3 linked regions of the Drosophila melanogaster genome follow. The protein of the gene in region 3 interacts with the protein of the main gene of each other region in a pairwise test. Each region holds a gene or a part of one and is shown on either strand. Other genes may lie near its edges.

What was found. The genes of interacting proteins can lie anywhere in the genome.
Region 1: the proteins of RpL4 (region 3) and CG13405 interact in a two-hybrid assay, tested with the Drosophila melanogaster proteins (one large-scale study listed by BioGRID).
Region 2: the proteins of RpL4 (region 3) and Ssl2 interact in a two-hybrid assay, tested with the Drosophila melanogaster proteins (one large-scale study listed by BioGRID).

The regions. Positions count from the first base shown.
Region 1 is NT_037436.4:73,445-77,038, forward strand, and holds CG13405 (uncharacterized protein), read right to left. Parts: upstream 1,889-3,594; 5' UTR 1,767-1,888; coding exon 1,194-1,766; 3' UTR 1,010-1,193; intron 948-1,009; 3' UTR 501-947; downstream 1-500.
Region 2 is NT_033777.3:29,030,451-29,034,583, reverse strand, and holds Ssl2 (strictosidine synthase-like 2), read left to right. Parts: upstream 1-1,941; 5' UTR 1,942-2,050; coding exon 2,051-2,166; exon of another isoform or gene 2,167-2,226; coding exon 2,227-2,435; exon of another isoform or gene 2,436-2,490; coding exon 2,491-2,779; exon of another isoform or gene 2,780-2,837; coding exon 2,838-3,468; 3' UTR 3,469-3,633; downstream 3,634-4,133. Other genes in the region: beta4GalNAcTB (beta1,4-N-acetylgalactosaminyltransferase B), read left to right, coding at 665-1,636.
Region 3 is NT_033777.3:27,917,087-27,925,684, forward strand, and holds RpL4 (ribosomal protein L4), read left to right. Parts: upstream 1-5,734; 5' UTR 5,735-5,830; coding exon 5,831-5,833; intron 5,834-6,038; coding exon 6,039-6,219; intron 6,220-6,283; coding exon 6,284-6,654; intron 6,655-6,828; exon of another isoform or gene 6,829-6,975; intron 6,976-7,053; coding exon 7,054-7,704; 3' UTR 7,705-7,802; downstream 7,803-8,598. Other genes in the region: mRpS22 (mitochondrial ribosomal protein S22), read left to right, coding at 1-1,097; Boh1 (buddy of Hmr 1), read right to left, coding at 1,172-2,197; CG12259 (uncharacterized protein), read right to left, coding at 2,829-3,908; BCAS2, read right to left, coding at 4,284-5,045, 5,113-5,187.

The DNA.
Region 1 (3,594 bases), on a different chromosome or scaffold from region 3:
CTAGAGTATTTTTCGCACACTTTTTTTGGGCGGCGAAGATATATACCAAGGTTGTTGGAACGAGACGGGGAGACTGGGAACGTGGAATGGAGCACAGGCGCGTAAAAAATACCCAAGCCGCAGACAGTGCAATAACAACAAGCGGGAGAACGCAGTAGGGTTGGAGAATTGGGTGGGGGGGGGGGGGGGGGGCGAAGAGACATGAACAGAAGACCCAAGGCAGAGGTCCAAAAAACAGAAACAGAACCAGATGGAAAATGGAATGGAATCGAAGCACAGTTAAAGGAATTTTGCTGTATACGTTAATGTGTGCTTGTTTTTGTGTCTGGGCACACACTCATAAACAATGATGAACGGGGTGAATGGACGCAAGGTGACGTCGCAACGCGGTCGAAGCCGCTGCTTCTGCACATTGGGTTGGCGAATTTGGCGCCGACAACATTCCCCTTCTAAAATCGCGCTTTTGAATTTTCCACCTTAGGGTTAAACCATAAATTTCTAAGTTGCAAGTCCACATAAATTATCTTTTAATCGAAATAATTTACATTTCACTTTTCTCCAAATCTTTCTAAATGTAAATAAAATTTAAACAGTGACCAGTTGTGTAGAAAACGTCAAACTATCTCGTTTTTGCGAAGTGTTCCCCATCAAGCGCCACAATGGGCGTGGCACTTGGCGGAGAGTGAGAATTGAGGCATAATAAAAGAAGGAGGAGGGAACGAAGAAATCATCGAGAGAAGTTTTGGTTCAATTCAGTTCGTTTCGATTCATTCTCGTCTACTGGCGTCTTTCTGTGCCTCTTCGGTTATTTGTTTATGGCTGTTTTGCTTTGATCCCCTTATTCTGTCTGGGGGCACAATCGTCTTGTTTTTGCGCTTATTGCTATTGCTCTACACTTTCCCGCTATTTGGCTACTCCACGTCTGGACTCTTGACTATTAAACCCAGCTAAAAGAAGTGCTAGGCAGATATTTTAGAAATCGAGGGATTAAATTAAATTTTGCATTTACTTGCATTTTATTGAAATTTTCTTGCATTTTTTATTCACATTCCCTCCATCCTTTCCCATTTTATTGAGTGCAGTGTCGTTGATATGTGTAGATATGTATATATGTAAAATATGAAGATATTCCACAATTATTCAAGTATTTTCATAACTTTTCCCCGTCAATTTTCGGAAACTCCGCTAGGAAACTAGGTACAACATAGTCCATTATCCGATTCAGAATCCGACTCATATTCGTCAGCCGAATCCGTGGGACAAAAGCCTGATAAGGTCGATTGTAGTTCAGTATAAAAGTAGCTCTTCTCGTCCTCTGTGACTTCCATTTCTATATCTCTGTAGCGCCTAGGTGAACCGAAGTTTTGGAGGTGCATGGCTCTATTCACGAGAACCTTTAAATGGATCTCCTCATGCTCCTGACAGACCCTAAGTTGTTTGTATTCCTGCTTGTCTCTATAAGTCTTGCACTTCTTGAACATCAGTCGATTGGACTTTGCCTTGAGCTCTTTTATAATCCTGTTCTGCGCATCAATAGCGTTGACCACCTCCTGATACTCCTTGTACATTGCCTGTTGCTCTTCATCGTCTTCATCGCTCTCATTGAGGAGCTCAAAGGGATCCTTCTCCTCCACCTCGAACTTATCTTCCTCTTCAACGTCCTGTTCGTCTCCTTCGCCCTCTCCCTCAAAATCTTCAGCAGCTTCTTGTCCTTCATTTTGCTCATTATCAACGTCTCCAGAGGCTTCTTGCTCCACATCAGACATTGCTTCGGATGTTAGGGATAAATTGTATTAAGCGATGCAGGGGTATTAGTTTACATAATTATGAAATACTTTAATAAACCAAATTTTGATATATAAATCAAATACAAATTGTTGTAGTAGATTTATCATGTGATCGACAAACGTAAACATAAAACTCCACACCTTAGAGCCAGTAAAATCTCAGTTTACTGCACACAACAACTACTTTTATTATTTCAGTTCGCCATTTTTTTTAGCACTTCAATAACTTCCGTTTCCGTTTCCCTCGTTATTAGATCTTTTCATATACGATTTATTGTTCTTCTGCCATCATGATAGCTGTTGCGCCGTTAACTTCATTCCTTCTACAATCTCATCTCTCTTATTTCACGCTTTTATTGACTCAGTGATTTCTTGTGGCTGGATCCGGTGGATTACGTTTCAAAGCGCACCACTCGACGGCATGCGTTCGCATTAATTATAGAAACTACAGAATGCATTTTAATTTGGCATAATGTTTATCTCGCAGCAGGGTCGTTTCATCGTACTACCGGTAGTTAAGACGTGAATTCTAACAGATTACAACCTGTAAGCCAGGAAAGAAAGGGTATGTATTTGATAACTGGCCCAGCGACACAAGTTGCTGTTTTAATATCAAACTGGTGCATTGAATGGCATAATAGGAATGCACAATATGTACGCAAAATGTACCTGCAAAGTTGTGTGCAATGAAAGACAAAAATGTAGAGAACAATGTTTAGCAAAGAAATTGAATATGTCGATATAGGGATATACAAATTTAAATTTATTTATTTATTTAATTTAATTTATTTGAATTTACTTAATTAAATAATAAGCACCTTGTTTGGTCCAAGCTTAAGCTTTTATCCTTGATGTTTTCTTGATTACGTCCCTGTTTAATTTTTGGCGTAATTACCAATTGCTTGCGAGTCCCTGAAAGCGACAGTTGCATTAGAAGCGAACACCCATAGCCAGAGCCTATGGGTTTTATCGTCCGTATCAAGGTGGCTTTTCGATTAGCTCCCCATTCAGATTACGCATACGTCACTTAAGCTCAAAAAGACTGCGCCGCCCATTTTAAATCAAATAACGGGCAATTTAATTTACAAAGTTGAAAGCAAGCATAGGCCACCCCCTTTAAGTCTCATACATATTTTGATTTTTATTGGGACATTTTATTCTTTTTTTTTTTTTTTTTTTTTTGATTCCTTTCAGACCATGCAAGTTGCATCAAGTTTTTCTTCCGCTCAGACTTTTGTTTTCCTTTGTCTTGCATCTTTTTTGTGCTATTGTTACAACGGAATGGGGACTGTTTTTTTGTTTATGCCTCTACTGAATAAAATGGTTTCATTAAAAAAGTTTTAAACTTTTTCATTTAATTTAACTGCAGCAAACAACAAGCATCCTTCATCATGAAGCCTTTCTCCTTCTGCGCTTTTCTTTGCCCACTCTCTTGCCATTTTTCACTGCAACTATTTTGTAGAGAGCATCTGTTTCAGATATAGAGATCCTTAGCATGCTTTGATTGTTTTTTTTTTTTTTTTGAATGAGTTTCAATTAAACTTTTCTATTTCCATTTATTGTGCATTTTCCTTCCGCAGCGTATGCTGTCGCAGTTTGTTTCAGTGAGTTGCCACCCCGATTATCACCTGAGTGAGAGGTATCTTGTAGTCGAGGCACTCTACTCTCTCTGTCCTGGTAAACTTTTATTTTAAAATGGCCTCTTAAACGTATTGTCAACTCAGTATATTATTTCGTCGCTTGATTTCCTTTTTTGTTATTATTTTAATCATTCCCATTCACAGAGCATAATTTAAAAGGGGACGTA
Region 2 (4,133 bases), 1.1 Mb from region 3:
GGAAACTGTCACGGCGTTGCCAGAGTGCTGTTGCTTTGTTTATACAGTACGTACTTGTTGAGCGAACAGTACAACCCGATAATAAACAAAGATTGACATTTTAAATGTTATAAATTAAAAACTTTGATTATGTCTCTCATGTATTAACCATACATACATATGGCTACAACCTTCTTCAGTTCAATTACCTTCTCTTTAATGAGTCAACATTTATAACTATGCATCCTTATCAATAGAAGTCTCAACAATCTAGTATAAGTAAACACAACTTTTTATCAAATTATTGTTTAATTAATAAGGGTGGGGTAGAGTCATGCCGTTTTAAAGAACCATGGATGCCCAATCGGTTGCATACTTTTTATAAAAACAACTTCTTATGCTATTTTGTATTAAAGGCATCCTAAAAATTGATTTCATAAACATTTTCTTTTTGGTTAGTAGACTTTAGTTGTTCGTAAAAACCATTTAAAAAATTAATGAATATTATGTGAGAAAATAAACCAAAAAAAAAACAATTCGAGCTGGTGAAGTTTCACTGTCTGTTGGTTTATGCGTTGCGTCCCTGGTCGTCAGCTGTTATTCGCCAACCGGCCGCGAAGATTGCGTCCGAAATTAGGATGCGGAGTTTCCAAAGATCGCACTGAGTCAACTTTTCCTGCCAACAATGTTCGTGCGGCTCTGGGTCCGCAGCTTCCATAAATATGATCTTCTCATCGCCATCGGACTGATCACTCTCATCGTGTACCTGTGTCTGCCCTTCCGGTTCGCATCGCACTACGACTACATCGAGGAATCAAAGATCGAGGGGGCTCTGGTGCCGCAGGTGACCAGAAATGTCTCCCAGCAGGAAGTTTTCGAATGCACCTACTCGGAGATCATTGCCGAAAACCGGTTCGTCTACCACCTGGCCCATTACCATGACGCGGTGCAGAGGGGCGCGGAGATCCGTCCTGGCGGCGAGTTCCGTCCGGAAGGATGTCAGGCTCGCTACAGCACCGCCATCATTGTGCCGTACAGGCAGCGGGAGGAGCAGCTGCACGCCTTCCTCACGTACATGCACAATTACCTGCCGCAGCAGCTGATCCACTATCGGATTTTCCTGGTCGAACAGTTCGATCATAAGCCGTTTAACAGGGCGATGCTCTTCAACATTGGCGCCCAGGTGGCTGCGGAGTATGGATTTCCCTGCCTCATCCTTCATGACGTGGACCTCCTGCCACTGAATTCGGGTCAAATATATGCCTGCTCCGAACGTCCACGGCACATGAGCTCTGCCCTGGATCACTGGCGATTCCGACTGCCTTACCGCGGTCTTTTCGGCGGCGTGGTGGCCATCAACACCGCCCAGTACCAGCAGATCAACGGCATGTCCAATCTGTATTACGGCTGGGGCGGAGAGGACGATGACCTCTACGAGCGCCTGCAGGCCCTGAATATCGACATTTGCCGATTCGCAATGGAGTTCAGTAAGTACACCATGCTGAAGCACAAACAGGAGCAGCCGAATGCCAATCGCGTGGCACTGCTGAGATCGGCGACTCTGCGCCAGCACGCGGATGGACTCAACTCACTGGTGTACACGGAAATGGAGCGGCGAATGCACAGTTTGTTCACGCACATCCTGGTTGATACCTGAGTGCCAGTATTTGTTATTGTATTTAGCTTGTAGGCCAATCGTTTTCGTAGTCGGTATCTCGAAGTGTTTTATACTTGGCTGCACTTCGCTTCGCAACCGATTAGTTACCGCCTTAGACAATGCGTTCCGAATCGATCGTGATATCTCACTCACTAGGCTAAGAAGCTAGACGGGAATGGAGGAGTCAAAGCTGTAATTGAAGTACAATGCAGAAGCCTCAGATTAAGCGGATATCGACATGTTAAGCACGCTCTGCCTCTGCCAATAAAAATGTATTGAATTTAATCTAATGGTTTGTTGATTAACTTTAAAAGCTCCAATCAGCAGGGTACATATATATCGACCAATTCGAAATCAAACTAATCATTATGACAATACCTTGACAATTGAACTTTGTTACCGCAGTCAATAATAATGGGTTTTCTTGCTGCATTGCTTAAAACCAGCCTGTTTTTGGTCCTATTCCTGGGGTCCTTGTTTCTGCTACCTGTCTTATATCCTAGCACCACTTTCCCCTTCGAACAGTATTTGTAAGTTGTTTTTCTTCAGTTGCTATCAAGCCATATAATCTATATACGTGCGTTTCCCAGTATAAAGCCAGCTAGAGATCTGAATGGAACGCTGGAGCTGAACAATCACTTAAATGGCGCCCGGAAGTTGTGGAAAGATCAAATATTTGGACCCGAGTGCCTCATAGTACTCGAGGACAAGATTTACACAGGAATTCACAGCGGCGAGGTTATTCGACTAAACAATGAGGAGTCGGTTCAACCTATCACAAAAATAGGGCAACCTTGTGGTAACAAAGGAGTAGGGGCAACTTGTATCCATAATGCCCTTGATATTCACCGTAGATTATATATTTGACGATGAGTTGTGCGGCTATCCAGTGGGTTTAGCCCTGGACACCCAGGGAAACAATCTTATTGTATCCGATGCATACTACGGCATATGGCAAGTCGACTTGGAAACGAAGAAGAAGACTGTGCTGGTGCCGGCGGAGCAGATCCTTCCTGGCAAGGGTGCAAACCGTCGGGCTAAGCTGTTCAATTCGCTGGTAATTAGCCGCCAGGGTGACATATTCTGGACGGATTCCTTTTCAGAGGACTTTGTCTTTGCTGCGTTCGCCAACCCGTCGGGTCGGTGAGTTCGAACTAAGGAGAGATCTACCATATAAGAAGGGTTTATTGGCTTTCCTCAGACTTTTCAGGTACGATCGCGTAAAGAAGACAAACGAGGTACTGCTCGATGAGTTGTCCTTTGCCAACGGCTTGGCCTTAAGTCCCAGTGAGGATTTCATTATCCTTGCCGAAACAACGGCCATGCGGCTGAGGAGATATTATCTCAAAGGATCAAGAGCCGGTGAAAGCGAAGTGTTTGTGGAGGGTTTGCCCGGCTGCCCGGATAACCTCACTGCGGATGAAGAGGGAATCTGGGTGCCCCTGTCTGTGGCTTCAGATAGTCAGAATCCCAATTTGTTCGCCGTGTTGGCGCCCTATCCGAGGCTTAGATCTTTTTTGGCTCGTTTGGTGGCTCTAATGCGACTTCCCCTTCGAGTTCTGAACCATATATATCCAAATGACATTGCGGCTCGTCTTTTTCACTCCTTTAACGATTTGGTCATCAGGAACGCTCCCAAGCGTAGCACTGTGGTGCGTGTGGATTGGAATGGAAACATTGTGAGATCCCTGCATGGGTTTGACAGATCAGCTTCGGGCATATCCCACGTGCTGGAAGTTAAGGGTCACTTATATCTGGGATCGCCTTTCAATCACTATGTTGCCAAAGTAAAATTGCCCGAAGAGGGATTGAAGTCCGTAAAAGGAAATTAAAGGGATTAGTAAAGTCAGTACTATGGATTCAATGTGATATTTACCATTATAATTTATTATTATTTGAATGCCACCTTATTTAAAGAACCTGTCAAGCATTGTTTTTAATTAGTTTATTGCACCATGAAACTATCAAATCACATTAATATTTTGTATTTTATTAATAAAATTAAAACTCAAGGAACAAACCTTTATTTTGAATAAACAAAAATACATGACGTTAAAATAAAAGATAAATAAAACTATATATGTCTGTACAATTTCGTGTCTTAGTAATTGGATTTGCGTAGAATTACAATAAGAACTCATGCGTGAAAGTGAATTAAATATGCTTTGTAAAAAATACGTCAGAACATAGTTAGTTGGCTATTTTGTCTAGCTAATGTACTATTATATTTAACTACATGCGGTCGTTTCGTTTCACATTTGATATCGATTGCGGAATGTGGCAACGAGCAAGGGCTCAAAAGCCTTGCGTTTAAGTCTACATAATATAATTTAAAACATTACTAACAAACACGCACACATTAAGACTGACACACTCATACACTTGCACAGATTAGATTTTATGTATAAATATATGTGTCAGCGTCCAATGTATCAACACAAGTTCTAATCGAAAAAGGTAATCGAGTGATATTGCCAGCAAAAATGGTAATACCAAT
Region 3 (8,598 bases):
AGCCCGCCGCCCTGCAGTACGAGCGCGATCCGCAGCCGCTTTTCACGGATGCCGAAACCCAGCGGCTGCTCCAGTCCATGACGCAACTGAACTTGGACAAGGTGTATCGGAAGCGCACGGTGCCGGACAACAGCAGCGAAACGAAGTTCATGAGCAACGAGCAGCTGGACAACGAGTTCCAGAACTTGGTGGTGCGGGCTCAGCAAATTCTGCAAATGCCACCCATTGTGCAGATCAAAAAAGATGTGGAGCGGGTGATAGCCAAGGATACGGCGCTGAAGGACTTCGCCAACTCCAAGTTCGTATTCACGGACATCACCTTCGGCCGACGGCAGTCGGAACGCAAGGTAATCGTCCGGGATATGGACGGAACCTTGGCCTACGCCACTCTTGATACCACGAAGCGCATGAACCAGTTGTATTTCCCGCTGGAGGGTCGCCAGTCATATACTCCACGAATGTTCGCGCTGGAGGAGCTGCTGGCCAAGTGCTTGGCGGAGCACAAGTACGAGTTCATCCTGGATCGACTCTTGGTGCAGTACGAGCCACATGAGCCGGAGTTCCACAACATTTCAGCGCGTGTGTTCGAGCATCTCAACGAGTCCAAGGAGTTCGATCTTCTGCGCTCCACCCGCCACTTTGGACCCATGGCCTTCTTCTACGCTTGGCACCGCTGCATCGACGACCTGCTGTATGACATGATCCGTCGGGATTATCTGCACAATGCCGTGGAGCTGATTGCTCTGAGCTACAAGCTACACAACATCCCAGTGGAGTATCAGGCAACGCTGACCGAACTGGGCAAACTGCATGCCACGCCGGCGGAAAGTGCCCTGGCGGAGCTAAGAAGCGTCTTCCGACGACATGACAATAAGCAGAACATTGAGCAGGAGATCCATACGGCCATTGGCAAGACGGAGCACGATTTCGCCGCCGATGAGATCAGCCTGAAGTTCATTGAGCAGTACATCGCCAGCGAACATGCGCTGAAGAAGGTGCAACTGGAGCTGGCGGTGCAGACGCTTAAGGAAGTTAACCGGGAGAAACTGATGCTGTTCCAGGGACTGAAAAAGGCTCACGGCGTCCAGGCTTCGTAGGATCTATTCGCTTTATTGTTATCGATTTCTATGTACTAATAAATACCAGCTAGGTCAAGATTTCTATACGCTGTTCATAGCTCCTTCTTGAGGACCCTGGACAGCCGTCTAAAATGGCCAAGGATGCACTGTCTCCGGTGCCGCAGGCATACCCGCTCGCTGCTGAAACGCTTCAAGCAAACTGAGCAACGTCTGGGATCACCTCTTCCATTGGGCAACCCGTTGTGTTCGCGAAATAGGACGACCACTTTCGCCTTGGCACAACTCTGTTCTTTTTTTCGGTGTACCAAAAGAGAGGTGGTGGTCTTGAAGTAACGTTTGCACTGAAGACATCTGTAGCACTTCCTGCCGCTATGGTTTCTCAGGTGCCTGAGCAACTGCATCTCTGAGTGGCTCATGGCGTTGCAGAGTAGATGTGGGCATTTAAAGAGCATCGATGACTTCCTGGGCGCTAGAGCGGGACAGCTCAGACTGTGTTGCTTCAATTGTTTCTGGTGGTCCAGACGCTGACCACAGCGAAAGCACAGAGCACCAGGTCCATAGTGCGCGGTCATGTGGCTCTGGTGCTCCAGCAAGGTTTTGGCCACATCGCCGCACACCGCGCACTCCATCATGCCGTTGGGAAATATGAATGTGTTCTCGCTCACGTAGGTGAGAAATTTGTCGGAATTGGAGGCCTCAGAACCGGTATCCTTTGGCCGTTCCTCTGGTAAATACCACTCCTCCGAATCGCGACGGCATTGAATGCCCGCATCCTTAGTGCCCGCATTCTCTGTTTGAATGGCGCGCTCTCTGCGCGGCACCATAGCCTCGTTCGCAAACATTCCAGTGACCTCGTTGAGTCTCTTCTGCTGTACGGATTTCTTGGGAGACTCTGTAGCGCCTCCATTGGTGATCGGGGCATGCAGTTCTTTCACTGGAATGCCATTCTCTATCGCGTACTTGCGTGTCACCCACTTGGTCTCCACGCACACGTATTCCGGCAGCTCGAAGACGGGCAAAGGGATAGACTTCATCTGAACAGGGCTGTGGCGTGGTGGTTTTCCGGCGGATATCGGTTGACCGGCCAACGCCACCTTTGCCGGTTGCGCCGGGTACATTTCGTTGGTTCGGGGTTCTCAAATGGCACTAAATCGATACGTATCCGAAAAATGAATTCACATTTTACTTGGAACTTATTTTATTTTTGTTATTAATTACGCTTGCTTTTTATAAAAAGACGCGAATTTTACTGGCGCAAAAAATTCAATGTTGCTATTGGTGCTGGCGGGCTAGCTTTTTTCCCGCCATATCCGACTTCTTTTGACTATTATGACAGTTGGAATATTAAAAAATTAAAATAAAATATAAATCTAACAGTTCTTTTTTCATGGCAATCAATACGAAGTGCTGAATAACTGCATGTTCTCTGATTATACTGTGTTTATAAACTAAAATTTCTACCAAATTTGTTTAGCAACAAGTTCTCTTAACAGTGCCATTTTAAATAATTAGGGGTATTCTTATGAGAAGTATGACATTTTCTAATGAATTCAAAATTGTATTAAGCAAACATAAATTTGTTATATATTTTATATTTCATTCAATGCCTATTATAATAGTTTAATTAAACTGATTGTAAATCTGGTGGAAAAATCAAATAAAAATTGTAGTTATTTTTCGTTTGTTTTGATGTATTAAATCAATCATTATTATATTGTACAATTATTCGGGCAGAAACTGCCCTAAGCACTACTTTTTACTCTTATCCTTGTCCTTGATGGTGTACTTGTCGTAGGACTTGGTGGGATCGTAGGGCTCCCATCGGCTGGCTGGGAAGATGTGCTTGTTGCGCTCGTACCAGGAGCGGAGGAGTACCTTTCCGGCATGGGACTCCTCCTTCTCCACGGAGGCGTCGCTTATCATGCGCACATCGTCGTGGACGTCGAACTGGAAGAGCGGGCCGGATTTGCCGCGTGCCTTGGTCACGATAAAGTCGTAGAAGGAATAGTGGTGCGGCAGGATCAGATCCTCCTTGACGTACATCAGCTGGTCGGCCATTACGGTCTTCAGTTCGATGAACTCCTTGCGCAGCAGCTCCAGGCACTTCTGCAGAAACTGGTAGATGGAGTTGCCCTTCTTCATCAGCACGTTCCGCCGATGGCCGGAGCCATCCCAGTAGCTGAACGTGATGGAGATGTCCTCGTCCTTCAGCTCCGCCTGCTGCATTACCCATTCTTGACGCAGCTGCTCGCGCAGTCTGTTCTCCTGCTCCTCGCGCTCGCGATCTGGCAGAAAGGAAGTGTCCACGTCAGGATTCTTGCATATCTTCTTCTTCTTTATGGGCAAAATGTCTTCCTTGATCTCCGTCCACTTGGGCTTGGGCTGATCCTCCTGCTTAATCTTCAGCTGTTTCTTATCGTGATCCTCGTCGTCCTCCTCCTCCTCCTCCTCGTCGTCGTCCAGGTTGAAGGACAGCGCCTGGATCTGCCGCTTCTGCTTGTTCTTCTCCGCCTGAATGGCCTCCAGGGCGCGCTGCTTCTCCCGATCCTTTTCGTCCTTCTTCTGGGCGAGCTTCTTCTCCCGTTCCCGCACTATATCCTCCTGCTTGGCCTTCATCTCGTCGAGGGTGACCAGACCAATGGTCGAGGACTTGAGCTGCTGCTCCACGGCATCGTAGTGGGTGGCAAACTTGTTCTCAATCTTGTCCAGCTTGAGCTCCTCCTCGATCTTCTTCTTGCGAAACTCGATCTCCTGCTGCTGGATCTCCCGCTTCTTCATCAGCTGGGCTGCACGGCCCGCCTCGCTGGCGGCACCTTTGTAGTGGGCCATCCTTAGTTGTTTCTGTATTTATTTATATTTTTTTTTATTTAATTCGTAAACGAAATTTGTAAACATCCAATTGGTGTGACCGTAGCAGAAACATTGAAAAATGCCATTCTTCGTATAAAAAATTTACAGCACAAAACACTACCTTACCAATTTGAAATAATAAAATATTTAATCTTGAAATTATTTAAAATTTACTAGCTGTCCATTCCCCTGATATAAGAGCAAAAAGAAGAGGATCACTATTTCTCTGCAACGATTTTGAAAAATAAAGATAAATCTTAGATTTTTAGCTGTTTTTTTTAATATCCTTTATATTTAGTTACAGTCGTAAGTTTTTCTTTAACTTGCTTCATGCTTTCGCTCAGTGTACTAAATCTACGTTGATCCATTGGAAGATTCCTCCTGTGCCTCGGATTTGTCCTCCTCCTTGCTGTCACCATCGGCATCTGTTCCATCATCGCCAGGTTGGCTTGGATCTGGATTGCTGGAGCTACTGCCGTTGCTCTCGGCCAAATCGTTCTGGTCGAAACCATTCGTGTATTCCGGCGTTGGAGCCGTGTCATTGGCGCTGGGCGGCGGGGTAATCTTCCGCAGCTGCTGACGGGCGGCATGGACGATCTTTTCCAGCTCGACGCACTCCGTCTCGATCTCGTAGTTCTTGGAGACCAGCAGCACCCAATGGGCTTCCAGGGAGCGCAGTCGCTCGCCGGCCTGCGTTTGCGCCTGCTTGCGCTGCCAGTTGACATCTTGAATGTCCTTCTTCAGCTGCTGCAGCTGGAGCTGCGCCTTCGCCTGCATGGCGGTGAAGACCTCCAGGTAGGACTTCCATGCCTCCGTGCCGTAGTCGAGCATTAGCTCCAGGTTGAGAGAGCGCACCCACTGGTGCTCCAGCTGGGCCATCGAGTTCTCAATGGCCTCCTGCCAGGCGGACACCTCCGACAATTTGCCCGATGGCGGCGGTGGCAGTTCGTAGCGCTTCATGGAGAGCGTCTCCATGGGCAGGCGGTTCTGGATGCGCTCGAACTCGTTGGCCATCAGCGGAGTCTCAAAGGGCGAGCTGGCGGGCAGTGGCAGATGGTCAAGGTAATTTTTTGTGGGCCTATAGCGCCGGCATTCCTCCTCCACCATGGCGAGAGCCTTTGGAAGAAGAAGATGCCATTTCAAAGTCAGTTTCAACGTGCAACATGGATATCCGTATATTTACCGATTCCCGGACGCCCACATCGTCATAGCCGTGATCTATGTAGGGCAGAGCATCCACAATAACTTCGCCAGCCATTATTTATTATTAATTTCTGTGTTTTGAGACTGTTTTTTCCGCAAGTAAACAAATACAATTGCCGCTTCGCACTAGTGTGGCACATTTAGCTACTTTATAGCTATATAAACGGATAACAGAATGCTGTTAATTAATAGCCATATATCTATTTAGTAAATTTTTTTGTTTTAACATGAACATTTAAGCAAAAAATAAGCGTTGTTTTCTCACCAATAAAAGTTGTGTAAGTTAGTTTTTAACGTATGTATGTATTATGTATTGTTTGATTATTTATTATGCGGTTAAATTACAACAATTGTATTCTTGTTCTTTAAAAACGCATTGCTAATTTATAAATTTAACTAAAATACGTTATTGATAAATTCGAATTTAGATTTGTAATATTATAGTTTAATTGCGAGAATATAAACAAAAACTTCTCTTACGAGAGAAAAAAAAAGCTAAAAGTGTTGGACAGCGTCCAATTAGCCCTGTAAGCTTGACACTTGCTGCTGTTAGCAAATGCAACCATGCGCCGTGGAACGCGATTGGCAGCCATTTCCGGCAGCTCTCTTTCTTTCTTCGTTCTTCTTAATAAAAAGAGGACGGTATCTGCGTTTGCAGAATATTTAGCACCTTTCATTGGGTTTGAAAATCAACGAAAATGGTGAGAAACGAAGCACAAGGCACTCCGCAACCGCAGCAGACCCCAAAACATTGGATTTAACACACGAAACGATGCGAAAATAGTGCAAAAGTGTCGCCCTAACCTCCACGTGTTTGGAATGTGCGGCGATGGCGAAATGCGCTTGTTGTGTTTTGTGATGTGAAATGATCAGTGAACTAAACCCGAATACCATGTGCACTTTCAGAGCTTAGGCAACGCCAGGCCATTGGTCTCCGTGTACACGGAAAAGAACGAGCCAGCCAAGGACAAGAACATATGCCTGCCGGCAGTGTTCAAGGCGCCCATTCGTCCGGATGTGGTCAACGAGGTTCACCAGCTGCTCCGCCGCAACAACCGACAGGCCTACGCCGTCAGCGAGCTGGCTGGTGAGTAAACTGTTTATAACTCCTCTTTTGTGTGAATCTAACCCGTTTGAATTCCTGTTTGCAGGTCACCAGACCTCCGCCGAGTCCTGGGGTACCGGACGTGCTGTGGCCCGTATTCCCCGTGTGCGTGGTGGCGGTACCCACCGTTCCGGCCAGGGAGCCTTCGGCAACATGTGCCGTGGTGGACGCATGTTCGCCCCCACCAAGACGTTCCGTCGCTGGCACCGCAAGGTGAATGTCAACCAGCGTCGCTACGCCCTGGTGTCGGCCATCGCCGCCTCAGGAGTGCCAGCTCTGGTCCAGTCCAAGGGACATGTCATCGACGGCGTCTCCGAGTTCCCGCTGGTCGTGTCCGATGAGGTGCAAAAGGTCCAGAAGACCAAGCAGGCTGTCATCTTCCTGCGTCGCCTGAAGATCTGGGCTGACATCCAGAAGGTGGGTAACTTTGTACACCTATGAAGAACTTAATCCGAAGAATGTTAGGTCACTTAACTGTGCGTCTATTCAACTTCAACGTATTTATTTAACAAAACGTGAAGTTGTGATGTTTTAATTGCAAAGTTATAACTTTTTATTGGATTCCTACTTTTCGGATGCTTTCTAAATCTTACTTGGCAGCGTGCAAGCAACTGGCTACTCTTCTGGTTGTCCGATGCTTGCAGGGATCTCCTGCGTTGCCAGATAAAATGCTCTTCTTGGCGTTACGATTGAAACTTGATTCACGGCTTCCATCGTGGTAACGGAAGAGCAACAGCTGTTGTATTCATGTTCTCTATTTCCGAATTCCTGGAATATACATACTCACTATCAACTTGTTTCTCATTCATTTCGCAGGTGTACAAGTCGCAGCGCTTCCGTGCTGGCCGTGGTACCATGCGCGACCGTCGCCGCATCGCTCGCCGTGGTCCCCTGGTGGTCTACGACAAGGACGAGGGTCTGCGCAAGGCCTTCCGCAACATCCCCGGCATTGAGACCATCAACGTGGACAAGCTCAATCTGCTGAAGCTGGCCCCCGGCGGTCATGTCGGTCGCTTTGTCATCTGGACCGAGTCGGCTTTCGCCCGCCTGAACGATCTGTTCGGCACCTGGAAGAAGCCGTCCACCTTGAAGAAGGGCTACAACCTGCCCCAGCCCAAGATGGCCAACACCGATCTGTCGCGTCTGCTCAAGTCTGAGGAGATCCGCAAGGTGTTGCGCGATCCCCGCAAGCGTGTGTTCCGCAGCGTGCGCCGCCTGAACCCCCTGACCAACGTGCGCCAGCTGATCAAGCTTAACCCCTATGCCGAGGTCCTCAAGCGTCGTGCCGCCCTCGCCGCCGAGAAGCGCACCGTGGCCAAGGTGCTGGCCAAGGCCAAGAAGCAGAACGTCGAGCTGGCCAAGTCGCACTTCGCCAATGTGGCCACCAAGGCTGCGGCCAATCGCGCCAAGCTGCTGGCCGCCCGCAAGAAGAAGGTCGCCGCCAAGAAGCCAGCGGCCAAGAAGTAAACTTACTTTCCCCCGAGTAGAGCTGACACACTTTTATATTATAATAAACCACAAAAGTTGTATGAATTTTATTCATAATACATAGAGTGCGCGACAGTAATGCTCATTAAACTCTTAGTCTTAGGCACATCATTTAGTTGGCTCTCTTTTTGGTCGTCTTGCCTGCCGCGCTGAGCGATCCCATCCCTTATCATTCTCCCGCTCGCGCTGATAACAGCGGCATGGCATCTGCATCTGTATCTGTGGCGGCGGCTGTAGCTTTCGTTATCGTCCGTCGTGCTGCCGCCGATGGCGATGCCGATCTTGGTCTTCGTACACGTTCGCACATCCATGGGCCGCACATATACTTATTGTCACACGTTAATTGGCATTTAATTAAGCGTCGAGCGTCGTCGCCGCTCTTATTCGACTGCGAACGGTCGACTGGCGCGGTTCTGCGTATCGCGAATATACCGAATCCCTTTTGTGCGGCAAATAAAAGGCTGGGAAACAAAGGATATATATTTTTGATTCAATTAACCGATGTAATTTCGCGACGGTACCATAGCATAGTAGGTAGCAGTCGGTAAACCGGTTCCAAGCCCACTTTATTATATAGCAGCTTGCCAAAAATAAAGGTAGATGCTATCTCGCGCAAAATCTGAAAGCTCGGATCATACGATATTTTCTATGTGCGGGTCGCGACCAATGTCTGGTTATATTGAGTAGAACGCAATACCATATAGCCACCACCACCACTGATCGGCCAGGAGAGCGAGAGCGGCATCGGCATCCCGCAGAGAGAACGCTGGAGCGGAGCGGCCATCATCTCCAACCGTCTCCTCCACCATTTTCCATCAACAACATTTATATATATTTTTTTTTTTTTGCCACCGCAGTAGATGGCAGTGCAGT